Arabidopsis thaliana: one gene and its partner. The protein of the gene in region 1 interacts with the protein of each later gene in a biochemical or structural test. Each region holds a gene or a part of one and is shown on either strand. Other genes may lie near its edges.

Evidence for each region. Proteins that work in one complex are often made in the same cells at the same time.
Region 2: of the proteins of HAG2 (region 1) and HIS4, one has a biochemical effect on the other in vitro, tested with the Arabidopsis thaliana proteins (one study listed by BioGRID).

Annotation. Positions count from the first base shown.
Region 1 is NC_003076.8:22,950,160-22,959,113, reverse strand, and holds HAG2 (histone acetyltransferase of the GNAT family 2), read left to right. Parts: upstream 1-3,374; 5' UTR 3,375-3,536; coding exon 3,537-3,615; intron 3,616-3,720; coding exon 3,721-3,762; exon of another isoform or gene 3,763-4,099; coding exon of another isoform or gene 4,100-4,115; coding exon 4,116-4,225; intron 4,226-4,334; coding exon 4,335-4,403; intron 4,404-4,503; coding exon 4,504-4,542; intron 4,543-4,620; coding exon 4,621-4,697; intron 4,698-4,822; coding exon 4,823-4,910; intron 4,911-5,022; coding exon 5,023-5,104; intron 5,105-5,200; coding exon 5,201-5,358; intron 5,359-5,445; coding exon 5,446-6,105; 3' UTR 6,106-6,347; downstream 6,348-8,954. Other genes in the region: NDL1 (N-MYC downregulated-like 1), read right to left, coding at 1-49, 124-223, 1,069-1,128; AT5G56730 (Insulinase (Peptidase family M16) protein), read left to right, coding at 6,538-6,752, 7,013-7,259, 7,344-7,469, 7,554-7,691, 7,763-7,897, 7,984-8,241, 8,318-8,455, 8,542-8,611 and 1 more. UniProt on the Arabidopsis thaliana protein: Acetylates soluble but not nucleosomal H4. Acetylates 'Lys-12' of histone H4.
Region 2 is NC_003071.7:12,326,587-12,333,225, reverse strand, and holds HIS4 (histone H4), read left to right. Parts: upstream 1-3,166; 5' UTR 3,167-3,271; coding exon 3,272-3,583; 3' UTR 3,584-3,881; downstream 3,882-6,639. Other genes in the region: AT2G28725 (forkhead box protein G1), read right to left, coding at 4,283-4,621; AT2G28720 (Histone superfamily protein), read right to left, coding at 5,728-6,183. UniProt on the Arabidopsis thaliana protein: Core component of nucleosome. Nucleosomes wrap and compact DNA into chromatin, limiting DNA accessibility to the cellular machineries which require DNA as a template.

The DNA.
Region 1 (8,954 bases):
AATGAAGCTGCTTCAGGACAGAAGAATAACCCTTGGAAGCATGACATATCTGAAGAAGAAACAACAAAAACATTAATAAATTTAGCCATTACATTAGTGCCTATAGAGATTCTTTAGCCTTACGGTTTAGGGCTAAATCAGGATAAGTAATCAATGCTGGCTTTTCTCTGTCTCCATAGACAATGACAGACACAACACCACTAGCAGTTTTAACACGATGCTCCTGAACACAAGAAACCAACAAGTTATAACAAAAGTAACGGATCATGAAACCAACAGAAAAAAACTAAACTTTTAACCATACCATTTGTCTACTCCATATTCATAAAACATGTGTTTGTAAACAATGAATCTATTTTCTCGTTAGTAAATGTATACTAAAGATAGGAATATGACAACTGACTTTAGGTGGAAAAGAAATGCTTTGATTAACACACACACAAAAAAGAAAACATCTCTGTTAAAGCTTTTCCATGTGCAGCTTTACTACTTTTAAGGGCAAAAAAACAAAACCAAAAACTTGATCATCAACAACCAAAGAGAAATGGCCTAATTCTAATCATTGTGGTTTTTTTTTAATAAAAAGGGAATGACAGTTTAAAAAAGATGAGCTAATATGAGTCTTAATGAGATAATAAAGAAGCATTAGTCTTATTAAACAAAAGGTTAATGGTAGACAAAAACAGCTGGCATTTTCTTTTCTTTTTTCTATAAGATAAAAAAATCAAAAGGCAATAAGACAAAGAATAAGGAATACAAAATAATAATAAGAAGAAGATATCTTTGAATAGAGAGAAGAAGAAGATCCCAAGAATAATCCCATCTGGAAATGAATCATAATAATAAAAGAAGTTTCACAAATCCACAAGCAAAGAATTTCTCCAAGAACATTTGATTCAAACAAAAGATGAGTCTTTTTTTTACAAAAACAAATGAATCTAACAATGCCCACATGTCTGTTCTTCCCCAAATCAACAGAAAGATTAGATTTAAGCAAGTTTAAGATAAACCCAGAAACAAAAATCAAAGCTTTATTCGGATCCGAGTTCAAAGGTTAAAGAATGAAACCTTGCCACCAAGATAGATTGTTCCAACGTCGACGGAGACGGCGCCGTAAGAGTCCGTCATTGGCAACAAAAGCTCTTCCGCTTAGCCGTCACCGTCGCCGTCGTTGTTTTAAGAACGCCGGGATAACAAGAGCTTCTTCTCTTTTCTTCTTCTTCTTCTCCCAACCTCTAGATTGTTTTTTGGCTTTTCTTTAGCTTATATACAAAGCGATGCCTTTTCTCTCTCCTCTCTCTTAAGACCTCTCTGGAAAAAGAAACGTTTTTTTTTCGTTTTCCTTTTTTTCTTCTCTTTCGTTTTACTCTCTCTATAAATTTTGCGGTGATTTCTCCATAGACGCCGGTAGTCGTAACATGACACGCGAACGGTCAAAAAACTTAAAATAAGAAACATTTTTAATTTGATTTATTTATAGAAACTTATTTTTGATAAATATTATTAACCAGCTCGAATTTCACCAATAACAGTCGAATACTAATTCGGAAAAATTGCTGTAAATAAATTGGATAATTGTATAAATGTAAACAAATATTAAATGTTGATAATTGGATAAGTAAGGGAGGTGCGAAGTTTTGGTTAACAACAAAATTAACATTAAGCAAACCGAATATAAATTTTTAGAGACTGTTTAGTTTTATTATTAAAAAAAAAAAGAGAAACCAAATTTTCTAAAAATACTATTACATATAAAAAATTATTTTTATGTAATAATATTAAGAACATCAATATTTAATAAACAATTGTATATTTATACTATTCGCAATTTTTTCACTTTGAGTTGGAAAAAATATATCTTAGTAGAAAATTAGAAATGGACTAATCTTAAACCATCAGATAGGCTTTCAAACATATTCCTATCATAAGAAACATGATGAGTAACACCACTATCTATGATCCATGTATTTTGTGATAACACTTGTCTAGAGGACGTTAGAGAACATAGTAACCATAAAGTCGAAGGTGAGAAAGAGATATCATTGAAAGCAAAACTTTGAAGTGACCAAATCTGCTGAGTTAGCTGATAAGACCTTGGCAAATTCGTAATGTGAAATCTAGTATCCAAGTCTTTCCAGATCTCTGCAGCATCATTGAAACGAAGTATACTCTTATAGATCTGCTTTGTAACAGAATTAAGGATCCTAGATTTAACCATACTGTTGCATCGTGACCACACTCTAAAGCTAGGATCAGATTCAGGAGGTCTTGGTAAAGTTCCATCAACAAAAGCAATCTTATTCTTAACGTTCAAAGAAACAAACATCGCAATCTTCCAAGAAGAGAAATTAGATCCATCAAGTACCTCAGAAACAAGTGTATTCCCAGGACTCACCATTTGAGAGCGCGAATGGCGAATAATGAGCATCCGAGAAGTCGAACTGTGGTAAAGGATAGATCGATGGTTTTGAATTGAAATTTTGTTGAAACGGATTCGAAATTGGTGGAATCGGTGGAATCGGTGAAGCTTGAACACGATCTGGAGTTTTCTCAGCTGAAGTTTTGCTCGATCTTCTAGTACGACGCCGCAATTTCTCTACGGAAACCATCGCAAGATCAACGAAGCTCTAAACAACTGAAATTTTCCAGAAAACGTAGAAAATTGAAGAAACAAAGAATCAACGAGTTTGGAAGATCCAAGAGCTCGAAGATACTCAGAGTTTAGGTTGAATCGGATGAATCTTCGAGATCCATCACTCTGATACCATAATAGTTGATGAACGAATTCAGAGAAATGAAGAAGATGAGAAAAATTTGTTATTCTTCTTAATTGTTCTGTTACATGAAACACTCTTTATATGTAGAGTGTTCCGGTTTAGTAACCGGTTTACATTGTACCAAACAACAATACAATAACCGAATTTATGGTTAATATCTTAAGTTAGACCTATTTCAAAACAAGCCTAATTTTCACAATAGTCAATTTTTTGTTGTTGAATATTTGGCCGAGAACTAGACTTCAATAATGGGGAAGAATAACTAAAATCGGTTCTTTCTCCTCTCCCAAAGTCAACTAGATTCACCAAGAATAACTAACTTTGGTTAATGATTACATGTTCTTAAAGTTATGGATCTTTTGGGAAAAATGGACTATTTGGCAAAAAGAGTGGCAAAAAGAGTGTGAACATAAAAAATACAAATGGGGCGTTCCGAGAATCGAACTCGGGACCTCTCGCACCCAAAGCGAGAATCATACCACTAGACCAAACGCCCTCATTTGATATTTCGTTAATTAGATAAATAATACCTAATAATACAAACTTGAATTGGTCTTGCATTTGGGCCGTTAACAGGCCTTGCTAAGTCATATGTGGTGTGTATTTCTCCATCTGCTATTGATCTCAGTAAAAATTACATAAAGAGAGCCACAAGCTTACTGACTCTCTTGTGTATCGCTCTCTCCGCATTTCCATTAACCCTCCAATTTTCCCGCCTTTGTCTCACTCTCTTCCCGCCTTGCACTCGCCGGGGACTCCATGGTTCAGAAGCAGCAAGCCTCCGCCGGTCCGGGTACCGAGCCTAAGAAGCGTCGCCGTGTCGGATTTTCTCCCGCCGGTGAGTCATTTCTTCTTCTTGTTTGTTTTCCTTTACTCGCGATTACCACTTTCCCAGCTCCGATTTCGTATTTTTCTTTAATCCGTTGATTTTTCTTATGTGCAGATACTGGTGTCGAGGCTAACGAGTGCATCAAAATTTATCTCGGTGCGTATTTGATTTAAATCATTTGAAGTTGATTTTGGGGATATAGTTTCGTACGAAAATTAGGGTTACGTTTCCTGCTTTCGACCTTTTTGGTGAAATTAGTTGGCCTTACTTCAATTTTTCTAGTTTTTGGCTTTTCCGGCGAACTTTATTGCTTTCAAAAGGTAGTTTTCAGTTATTGAACATGTAGAGCAGATCTGTATACTGAGTTTCTGTTGATTTATGTGTTTTATCTTTCTTCCAATTGATATTTGTTCAATGAGTTGTAAAAGTATTTTCTGTGTGAAGTGTCTTAGGTTGCTGTGACATAATTTTGTTTTCTGTTTTGGTAATCGTGATGGGTGATGTTCTAGTTTCAAGCAAAGAGGAAGTTGATTCCTCTGATATTTCCAGCGTGAAGCCAGTTGACTTGAATGATTTCTTTGATGGAGATGGCAAGATTTATGGTTACCAAGGTTTGAAGGTAATGTGGCCTCCTACCATTAGATTATTTTGCTCTTTCTTAAATTTCTGGTTTCGCATTGTTGTGGTTCTGTTCTGACATATTCTTGTCCACAATTTATTGATGTCAGATAAATGTATGGATCAATAGCATCTCATTACATTCATATGCTGATATCACATACCAGAGCACCATTAACGTAAGTGTTGATTGTATTTGCTATTCGTTGGATTGGTTTTATACGGCTTTTAAAGGGACTAATCATCACTATCCTGTTACTTTCTGTTGTGTGTTTGAAGGGAGACAAAGGCATCACGGACCTCAAATCTGCTTTACAGGTACCAATCAACTTGGACACATGCTTCTTTTGCTCTCATTATATTATTCTGATTGTCTGTTTCATTTCACCCACCCAGAACATATTTGCTGAGACCATTGTTGATACCAAGGATGAGTTTCTGCAAACCTTTTCGACACAGAGAGATTTTATCAGGTGCATAACTGCATACCTTCTGGTTGCTTTCATACCATCTCAAATTTGTTCCCAACTTAATTACGATAGATCTCTTTGTAGTCTCTGAATATAATGTTGAACTTTGTCATTGATTGTTGTTCTAGAAATATGGTCTCGAATGGAGAGGTAATGCATGCTGGAGCAACAGATGGAAGCAGCAAGAATGCTGAAGTGGTTCCTTCTGATCCCCAGGTAGTTTTTGCTTAATATGATTCATGTATCCTATAGTCTTAATAAGTTTGAGCAAATTAGTTTGAGATGTTTTCAGCTTCAAATAGAACTTATAAAGGTTGATTATCCTCAGGTTATACGGATGGAAATTGGTTCTCCAAATGCTGGACTCCTCTATAGCCGATTGGTACCCCTTGTTCTTCTTTTTGTCGATGGTAATAACCCACCTACCCTTTAAGTCATCTTGAATATTTTATTTCTCTTGTTAGTAACTTAGTACTAACGAGATGCCGGCTCATTCTTTTGATCAGGCAGCAATCCGATTGATGTCACTGATCCTGACTGGCATTTATATCTCTTAATCCAGAAGAAAGAGGAAAAAGAAGATCCTTTGTATCGAATTGTGGGCTTTACCGCAATTTATAAGTTCTATCGTTATCCTGACAGGCTGCGGATGCGACTCAGCCAGGTATTAAATATATTCCTCAGAGATCTCAATCCTACTTACAATCTTTTTGATCTGACTGTTTTTGCTGATTCGTTGTTTTGATTTCAGATCTTGGTCTTACCATCCTTCCAAGGAAAAGGACTCGGAAGCTATCTTATGGAGGTAGTAAACAACGTGGCCATAACAGAAAACGTTTACGATTTGACAGTTGAGGAGCCATCTGAAAAGTTCCAACACATCCGCACTTGCATAGACATAAACCGCTTGCGCAGTTTCGATCCAATCAAACCAGACATTGATTCAGCTGTTCAGACTCTCACAAAAGGAAAGCTATCAAAGAAAGCTCAGATACCTCGATTCACCCCGCCTCTGAACGCCATTGAGAAAGTCCGCGAATCTCTGAAGATCAACAAGAAACAGTTCCTCAAATGCTGGGAGATTTTGATATACCTTGCTCTTGATCCTATTGACAAGTACATGGAAGATTACACATCAGTCATCACGAACCATGTGAGAACCGACATTCTGGGAAAAGATATAGAAACTCCAAAGAAACAAGTCGTTGATGTTCCAAGCTCTTTCGAGCCAGAAGCATCGTTTGTGGTTTTCAAGTCTGTAAACGGAGAAGAGGCTAATACCAATGTTCAAGTTGATGAAAACAAACCGGATCAAGAGCAGCAGCTGAAGCAACTTGTTGAGGAAAGGATTCGTGAGATCAAGTTGGTTGCTGAGAAAGTCTCCAAGAGTGGTCAAACGCTAAAAGTCTGATTGGAATCAAAACTTTGTGAGTCTTTTATCGGAAGTTTTTTGTTGAATGATCAAACTAGAAATCTCAAACTTTGTTGATCTTCTGTAAGGAGTAAGGACAAATCTGTTTGTAGCGCTATGTTATGGAAGTTGAGTAAACTAATGTAGTTCCGGTTATGATGTTTGTTGTCACATCCAGAACCATAAATTGGAATATTCCGATTGAATTTTAGCAAAAACTTGATATAAACCGACGCTGGTTGAACCAAATATACCGGGCAAACCGAGAAAGATACTAGTCAAGGCAAAAAAACAAACATAAGAAGAACAAATCTCGAAGGGTGGGACTTTTGTGCCGTCTCTATAGGGAGAAGAATTTGTTTTCGTGTTCTATTGATAAACGAATTTGATTTTGACAGAGTGAGGCAGAGAGAGAGAGAGAGAGAGTGAGAGATGGATTTGATAGCGGGAGAGAGCTCGAAGGTGTTGAGGAAACAAGGTTTCAGGTCGCTGAAACTGATGAGTGTGGACATGGAACAAGAACTCGGTAACGAGCTTGAGCCATTCGGGGCTGATTATGGAAGACTCGATAATGGTCTCATCTACTATGTTCGCCGGAACTCCAAACCAAGAATGAGAGCCGCTCTAGCTCTCGCCGTTAAAGTCGGGTATGTCTTCTTCTTCTTTTTTTATTTTGGCCACATTTGGTTTCAATTTGAATTGAATTGAACTTATGAATTGAAATTACTGGAAATTGAGTCGAATGTTGATTTATTTGGTCACTCTTCAGTGTTGATCCAACTTTGATTTGATTAATGATTCTTCTTGTTATCTTTTATGAATAGATTTGTGACATGCATTGATATATTCGATAATACAGAATTGTGCGCTATAAATGATGCTGACACACCTTTTGGTTTATTGGCAGTTCAGTTTTGGAAGAGGAGGATCAGCGTGGAGTTGCTCATATAGTAGAGCATCTTGCATTTAGTGCTACAACGAGATATACAAATCATGATATTGTCAAGTTCTTAGAGAGCATTGGAGCAGAGTTTGGGCCCTGTCAAAACGCAATGACTACAGCGGATGAGACTATTTATGAATTGTTTGTCCCTGTTGATAAGCCTGAATTGTTATCTCAGGCTATTTCCATTTTAGCAGAGTTTAGCTCCGAGGTAATGTCTCTGTGACTCTGTCTCCTCCTTTTTGTTACTTTATTTTTTTCTTTCCATAAGAAATTAGTTACACGGTGTTTTTAGATTCGAGTCTCAAAGGAAGATTTAGAGAAAGAAAGAGGGGCTGTTATGGAAGAATACCGAGGGAATCGGAATGCTACTGGAAGGATGCAAGATTCACATTGGCAGCTGATGATGGAAGGTTCAAAGGTATGTGAGGTCTTTTGTTAATCAGTTGTCTAGTTTAAGAGAGAGGCCAATGTTTTCTTAAAAAAGACTTTCATTTAACTGCAGTATGCTGAACGTTTACCCATTGGGTTGGAGAAAGTGATTCGATCTGTTCCTGCTGCAACTGTGAAGCAATTTTACCAGAAGTGGTATCATTTATGCAATATGGCAGTTGTGGCTGTTGGAGATTTTCCAGATACAAAGGTACTACTATTTTAGTTTATGACTATGATTATGTTGTACTGTTAGAGTTTGTTGATAATCCTTGTTTCTAGACTGTAGTTGATTTGATAAAGACACATTTTGAGGATAAAAGATCAAGTAGCGAGCCTCCACAGATACCAGTGTTTCCTGTTCCTTCTCATGAAGAGACGCGGTTTTCTTGCTTTGTTGAGTCAGAGGCAGCTGGGGTAAGTCAAATTTAACTCTCCAAACGTCTTCCTGTATTATCCCGATGTCAACTCCTAAGCTTCTTTTGTGTTTTTTTTTCTTGTAGTCTGCAGTAATGATCAGCTATAAGATGCCTGTAAGTGATCTGAAGACAGTGAAAGATTATAGGGATATGCTTGCAGAATCAATGTTTCTACATGCTCTAAACCAGAGACTCTTCAAAATATCTCGTAGGAAGGACCCTCCATTTTTTGCGTGTTCTGTTGCTGCTGATGTCCTGGTGAGCCCTTTGAAGGCCTATATAATGAGTTCGTCTTGTAAAGAGAAAGGAACTCTTGCATCCCTAGAGTCTATGCTTCTCGAGGTCTCTTCTCCTTTCCCTCTTGTCCAAGTCTTTGTCACTCCCTTGTCCCGCCCCTTCATTGGTTCTCGTGTTTTAGGTTGCTAGGGTACGCCTTCATGGGTTCTCAGAGCGTGAAATATCTGTTGTTCGGGCTCTCATGATGTCCGAGATTGAATCTGCTTATCTGGAACGCGATCAGGTCCAATCAACTAGCTTGCGGGATGAATATATACAGGTAAAATATGTGATGAACTTTAATATCCAGCTTTTTGTCTTCCCCCTCTACCAAAATCTTGTTTATATATGTGTTTCATCTTGCAGCATTTCCTTCACAAGGAACCTGTTATTGGGATTGAATACGAAGCACAACTTCAGAAGACTCTTCTACCCCGTGAGAACATGCATACGCTTCTTATAATGTAGTCGAGTTCCATTTTCACTATTAAACTCGTATAAATTATATTGGGTTCTCTCTGATGCAGAAATATCGGCGTCAGATGTGTCCAGATACTCTGAAAAGTTAAGAACATCATGCGGCTGTGTGATAAAATCAATGGAACCTAAATCTGCTGCTACTATTGATCATATGAGAAATGTTGTCTCAAAGGTTAATAGTCTGGAAGAAGAAAAGATGATTGCTCCATGGGATGAGGAAAACATTCCAGAAGAAATTGTCAGTGAGAAGCCAACTCCAGGGTAAGCCCCGAACTGTAACTATAGGTTCACTGACAAGC
Region 2 (6,639 bases), on another chromosome or scaffold:
GCTACAAAGCAGAACACTTCAACAAAATTATAGTCTCTTGTCTTAATTGTTAGAACACACTTATTTTTTCTATAGTCTATGTACTAATTGAATGGAAATATATTCAACAGATCCGCTGTAGCACATCGGTTAATTTCAATGTCATGAAATCCGGGTTCAAACCCCGGCAGCGGAATACTTTTTTTTCCAATTCTTTTAGTCAGGTAAATTAAGGACATATTCAAGATATTTGAACATCTACACCAGTCTTTATTATAAAATTGATTATGCTTGTCTAAGTTGACTTTCTAAGAAGAAATTATTGGATTAGGGGCAGAGTTTCTAAGAAGGAGATTCAAGAAGAAATCTATTGTTCCAAGTTGCTTCAAGAATTGTACTTTTAGTCACAGTATGAAGCTAATATCAAGATAGTGCCTTTTTTTTTTTTTTTTTTTCCGTCAAACACCATTTTTATTAAGTTATCGGAAAGACGCTATCCGCTAGGGAGAGCCATTCAGGAACCGACTTGCTTACATGGGAAAAAAGAATATTTCTAGTCCTAGCTTTTTTGGCTAAAAGGTCTGCTCAAGTGTTAAAACTACGAGGAATAAATCTAATACGAAAAGAAGGAAAAAAAACAATAAGAGATCGAAAAGAGGCCAATTCCGCTGCAAAAGTTGGCCATTCTTCTTGGTTATCGAGAAGAGATATCAAATCGGAGCAATCAGATGCAAAGGCTCCAGAGGTCTCGCCAATTGATATCATGCACTTCATAGCCCAAAGCAAGGAGTCCACTTCCGCATGAAGCGGTGATAGACTTCTTTTCGTACTTTTGAGGCCAAGATGAAGAGTAATATCTTGATCAACTAAAATCCATCCATGTCCACTCAGAGTATCCTCCAAATGCCAAGAAGCATCAAACTGACACTCAGAAGTCCTAGGGGGAGGGAGATGTGCCAGAACCGGAAGTGAAATAGACTCTGTGATGGCTACTTCTTTTTGGTTTGCTTGTTTTCAGGCAATTGCCTCTTTGATCACCAAGGCCAAAGTCTCCAAAGGAGGTTCTTTAAAATTCTCGAACAAAAATCGATTACGACTTTTCCATATATACCAAAGTATCCATGGAAAGAGTTCAAGAACATCCTCTCCTATTCCGAATTCCTTGCCCCGCCAGAAGAGAAAATCAAAATTATAGAAGAGGGAGCTCCTAGGGAAGAGGTGCCCTGAAGTGGGAATAGGTGACAATGCCCAAATCTGTCTGGAATGCGGACAATGAAAAAGGATGTGATTAATAGTCTCCTCTTCCGCTCCGCAACGAGGACATCCTTTATCTGTGCCAATATGTCGGTAGACAAGTCTTTGACAAGTGGCTAGACACCCCGTGATACATTGCCACGCAAAATGCATAAGGTTTCGCGTAGTTTTAAGCTTCCATACTTGTGCCTGAAGTGCAAAAACACTCGGTCCCTAAAAAGGGAGGTCACAAGTAGGACGAGACAAATCTCGCGCAGCCCAATACCCGGATTTAATTGTATAATTTCCGGATTTAGTGTGGGACCAACTAAATCCATCAAGATAGTGCTTATCTCTTCCAAATACGACTAACATGTTGTTACTAAGATGTTATTACGATGATTTGTGCTTAGTTGACAGAATGAGTCATATATCTTGTGAAAATTGGGATAGTCAAAACTCTTTTGTCAAATTAACGGATAATAGTTAATAGTGGTGTTTAATCTGAGTATTTGTTTGAGTTTCTGATTTATGAATCTAGTATATGTCAATTGGTACAATCAAAGAACCACATTATATATCACTCACACCATTTTTTTAAAAGATTGAATCAAGAACACACATTGTTAAGAGAACACTTAAACAAAACTAGTGGCTCTCCTCTCTTTCTCTTAATATGTGTTCGGTCTTAACACGTGATAGGTAGAGAGTATTAATTAGACAGGGTATATACTAGTTAATTGGAGATACTTTCAACCAATCCGCTGTAGCACACATGTTTATTTCAATGATGAAATCTGGGTTCAAACCCGGCAGCGGAATAGTTTTTTTCTTTCATTTTGGTAAAGGACCGATCCAAATATACCTTAACAAGTTGACTTTGCAAGAAAAAACCATTGGAGAAGAGCAGAGTTTTGATCTTTGATGAGCTTTGTGTTGAATGCGATTCATGAAGGAATTTCTTGGCTGCAAGTTTCTTTCATCAAGATTTGTGCGTCTAGTTATGGTATGAAGCTAATACCAATATTTTGCATATCATTTTGTAGTTGAAAGAAATCTTATAACAGAAATTTTGAGTTCATTCTTCAAGATTTAGATAAGTCTTCAACTTGTTGAGAATTCTATGACAAACACTCATGGTATTCACTTTGGAGATTAAATCAAGAACACACGTTTTACGAGTTTTTCGAGATCGATATGATCCTAGTACATTTCAGCAAGAACAACACCTTGTAATTTACCATCAGTGGAGTTTTTGAGTTATAGAAAAAAAGGAGAAAACAAAAAGACTAGATATACAAGAGCTTTGGAGCTCAAGGGCTTTATAACAATATGGTTTTCAGTTAGAATAATAATCGTCACCTCCTTACAACGACATTGCTTCATTCTAGCTAAAGCACACATCCTTACGTTGTCCTGTAAAAATGCTTCAAACCAGAACATTCCAACAAAAATAGAGTCTCGTCTCTTCTTACGGTTAGTACACAGTAATTGTTTCTATTAATTCAATGGAGTTATGTTCAACATATCCACTATACCACATTTGGATTCAAACCCTTATAGTAGAATATGTTTTTTTTTTTTTTCCAAGTGCATTCAACTTGTCCAAATAATAATAATGTAAAAAAACAATTTTTAAATTTTTTAAAATATATGGATAGTAAAAAAAGAGATCTGAGAATTTACCTTTTTTTATGGTAGCTGAAAAGTAAAAGTAAAATATACTCCATAGTTATACTAATTATTTTCGATATCCATTGTAATTTAGTACATATAACCGGTCCGGTTGACTCACTTGGTTCAAAAGGAAAAATCAAAAATCCACAATCCGTGACTAACATAATAACCCAATCTACAACCGTCGATTCATTAATAATCAAGGATCCATATATCTCATAAACCTTTCTCACGGATCGTTATCTTTGACCGTCCGATCAAACAATAAAACGAACGGTCACGATTCATTTTCTAACCCAAACAATCTTCTTTATAAATAAAAAATAAATTCTTCTCTACTCATCAGAAAACTCAAATCTTAAAACTTTCTGGAAAAACAAAAATGTCAGGAAGAGGAAAAGGAGGAAAAGGGTTAGGCAAAGGAGGAGCAAAGAGACACAGAAAGGTTCTAAGAGACAACATTCAAGGAATCACAAAGCCAGCGATTCGTCGTCTTGCTCGTAGAGGAGGTGTGAAGAGAATCAGTGGATTGATCTATGAAGAAACGAGAGGTGTGTTGAAGATTTTTCTGGAGAATGTGATTAGAGATGCTGTTACTTACACTGAGCATGCGAGGAGGAAGACGGTGACTGCTATGGATGTTGTTTATGCCTTGAAGAGACAAGGAAGAACTCTATATGGATTTGGTGGTTGATCAATTTGAGATCTGGGTTTTCTGGTGAATGATGATGATTTAAGTCTTGCGATCAAGAAATTCCAGAAATTGGGTTGAATTTTAGGGTTTCGTTTTGTGTTGTAATTAGGGCAGCATTGTAATGGATTAATGATAAGTACCATTTGCTCTAATTACTCTTTAATCTCTGAAATTCATGGTAAAGGATTATCAATCGAAAACTAATCAAAGGAATTGATTGAACTATGTTTTTGAAGATTGAAAAACAAATAAGGACTAAATGTGAGCAATTTAAAGTTTAGAGGTATAAGAATCGAATGACAAATATGGACTCAATGTGAGCGTTTTAAAGTTCTTAGCTTTATATATAAGATTCATACACTTAATTGGCTTATAATATTTCTTGCAAAAAATCATTTTCGCATTCCCTAGTGTAAGAATTTGTTGTGAAAATTATTCAGAGTTTTGTGAAATCTAATGACACGTCATCGATCCAACACATATTTGTAACGATACATTCATCACCGTCAGATCAAATAAAATGAACGGTTAATATAAACAAGAAAACAGTTTCTAAAACAAAAAAGAAAGGGCCCTACCGGATTCGAACCGGTGACCTATTGATCTGCAGTCAATTGCTCTACCACTGAGCTAAGGACCCTTATTGATTAATTAATATCAATTACATACATATAACCCATAGATATGACGAAAATGTCATCAACATTGTTCTTCGATTTCTTCTACAACACCTTCAATACCAAAACATGATCGTAATAAAGAAACAGAAGCAATGACCATAACTCCTGCGAATATCGTTGGTAAAAAAACGTCTAAATATGAATTCTTCACCATTTCTGACGGCAAGATTAACATTTCTCCCGGTAAATCCATCGGAATCCTAACGAACCCATCGGAAGATGACTTTAATTTCGACACAAACGCCATCTCCGGAGCAAATGAAGCCAAAGCCACTGTGATCATTAGGAGAATTGTCCATGTTGCTGTTTGAACAAGAACTTCCCAACGTGTTGAGGTTTTTTCAAGAATTGGTTCCATTGAAAGAATCAAAATTATAGAAGTGTTTAGTTTTGTGTGTGTGAAGTTAAAAAGATTTTGAGTTAGTTTTGGGATTATACAATGTGACGAAGAAGAGTGGGAGAGAGGACTCTTACACGTTTTCATGAACTTTTTTTATAATTACGGATTTACCATTTTCTTAGTTAATACAAATTTAATTAAAATTATTGTGACCGGGTTTTAATGAACAAACACCTAACTAAGAGAGAAATATCCACCGTTAAGGCAGTTATAGGATTCGAAACAATGGCTTCTTAATTTATTATTTCAGAATCAATTAAGAACTCGCGTCATGTGACGACCCAAGAGAAGAACCCGTGTGCAAATACACGTATGAATCTCAAATTATTTAATTTTAGTAATATGAGATTGTCAGATAATGAACATTTTAGGGTTGGAACAATGCAAAGGTGAATCGGTTACTGGATTGTAAACCCAAATGGAAATGGTTCGATGATTTGTTTGATTTAGTGTCAAAAGCAAGGTTGGTTTTGGCATGATCCTCTTTCTTCAAGATATAAAATGATGCAATACTCTAATCACACATAAAAAAGAAATGCGATAATCCAGAGCATAAACAAGGGTTTGATTGAATCACTAGCACAAAAGTCCAAAAAAAAAAAAAAACGGAATCAAGAAACCAAAAAACACATTCCAGCCATATTATCCTCAGTGTAGATGTATTTTACTAAACCTATAAGTAATAGTTTGTGTACCAAGTTATTGTCAAAATAACTAAATCAGGAAAGAAATTTGTCTCTAAGCTGATAAAAGACTCGTCATCATCCGTTATAACCTGTTCGATGATTAGTTGATCAATCATTTCTAAGGTGAATAAACAAAAGCTAAGCTCAAGAATAATTCACAACAAAATTACCGATTCATCGTACAAAATCATCCACCAAAATCCAAATTTTAATTTAACATTCATAAATATCAAACTTCTTGTAGAATCCCAAGTCACTAAACACAAAATCCAAATTAAAAAGAAAACATTAACACCATTACAATCTTCAACAAATTACATAAAAACCATCAGATTCCATATCAAAACGAACCAAGATTCGAAACCTAAACGGCTAAACCTAAGAGCTAGTAAACTTAGTAACAGCCTTAGTTCCTTCAGAAACAGCATGCTTAGCAAGTTCACCAGGTAACACTAGTCTAACAGCTGTCTGAATCTCCCTAGAAGTAATCGTAGGTTTCTTATTATACCTAGCTAATTTTGAAGCTTCTTGCGCAAGTTTCTCGAATATATCATTGATAAAACTGTTCATAATCCCCATAGCTTTACTTGAGATTCCAATATCTGGATGAACTTGTTTCAACACCTTGAAGATGTAGATCTTGTATGTCTCTGTGCTTTTCTTGACTCGTTTCTTCTTCTTCTCGACTCCTCCGGTGACTGCTTCTTTTGGTAGTTTTTTTCCGGCTTTTGGTTTCTTCTCTGCTGGTGCTTTTTCGGCTACTTTCTCTTCTTCTGCTGGAGCTTTCTCTGCGGGCTTTTTCTCTGCTGGTTTCTTTCCGGCTTTTGGTGCCATTTTTTTAGTTTTCTCGGGAAAGTTTTGGGATTTGGATTTTTGTGATTGATGATGATGAAGAAGATGATGAAGCGGTGAAAGATATTAAGGAGGAAGTAATGGATTTGATTGGATGAGAGAATTTGACAAGGATTGATGACGTGGTGATTTTGTGTTTGTTAGATTGAGGATACTAAATATCTTAATCTACGGCTGATAGATGATGATAAGTAAGTGTTTTTCTTTTATGTTGGAGAAGGCATCGGATTGCTAATGTGGAGTTATGTTCAGTATCGTTGGTGACGTGGATCACGTTAGACCTGGGCTTATAAATTAAACCGAGATTAAAGGATTCGGACTAGGTCCGGACAAAATAACCGAATTGAAAGAATTGAAACTGGAACCGAAACAAAAGATAAGTTTATTACATATAGAACCGATCATATAAGCTTAAGATGAGTGTGAAGATTCATAATA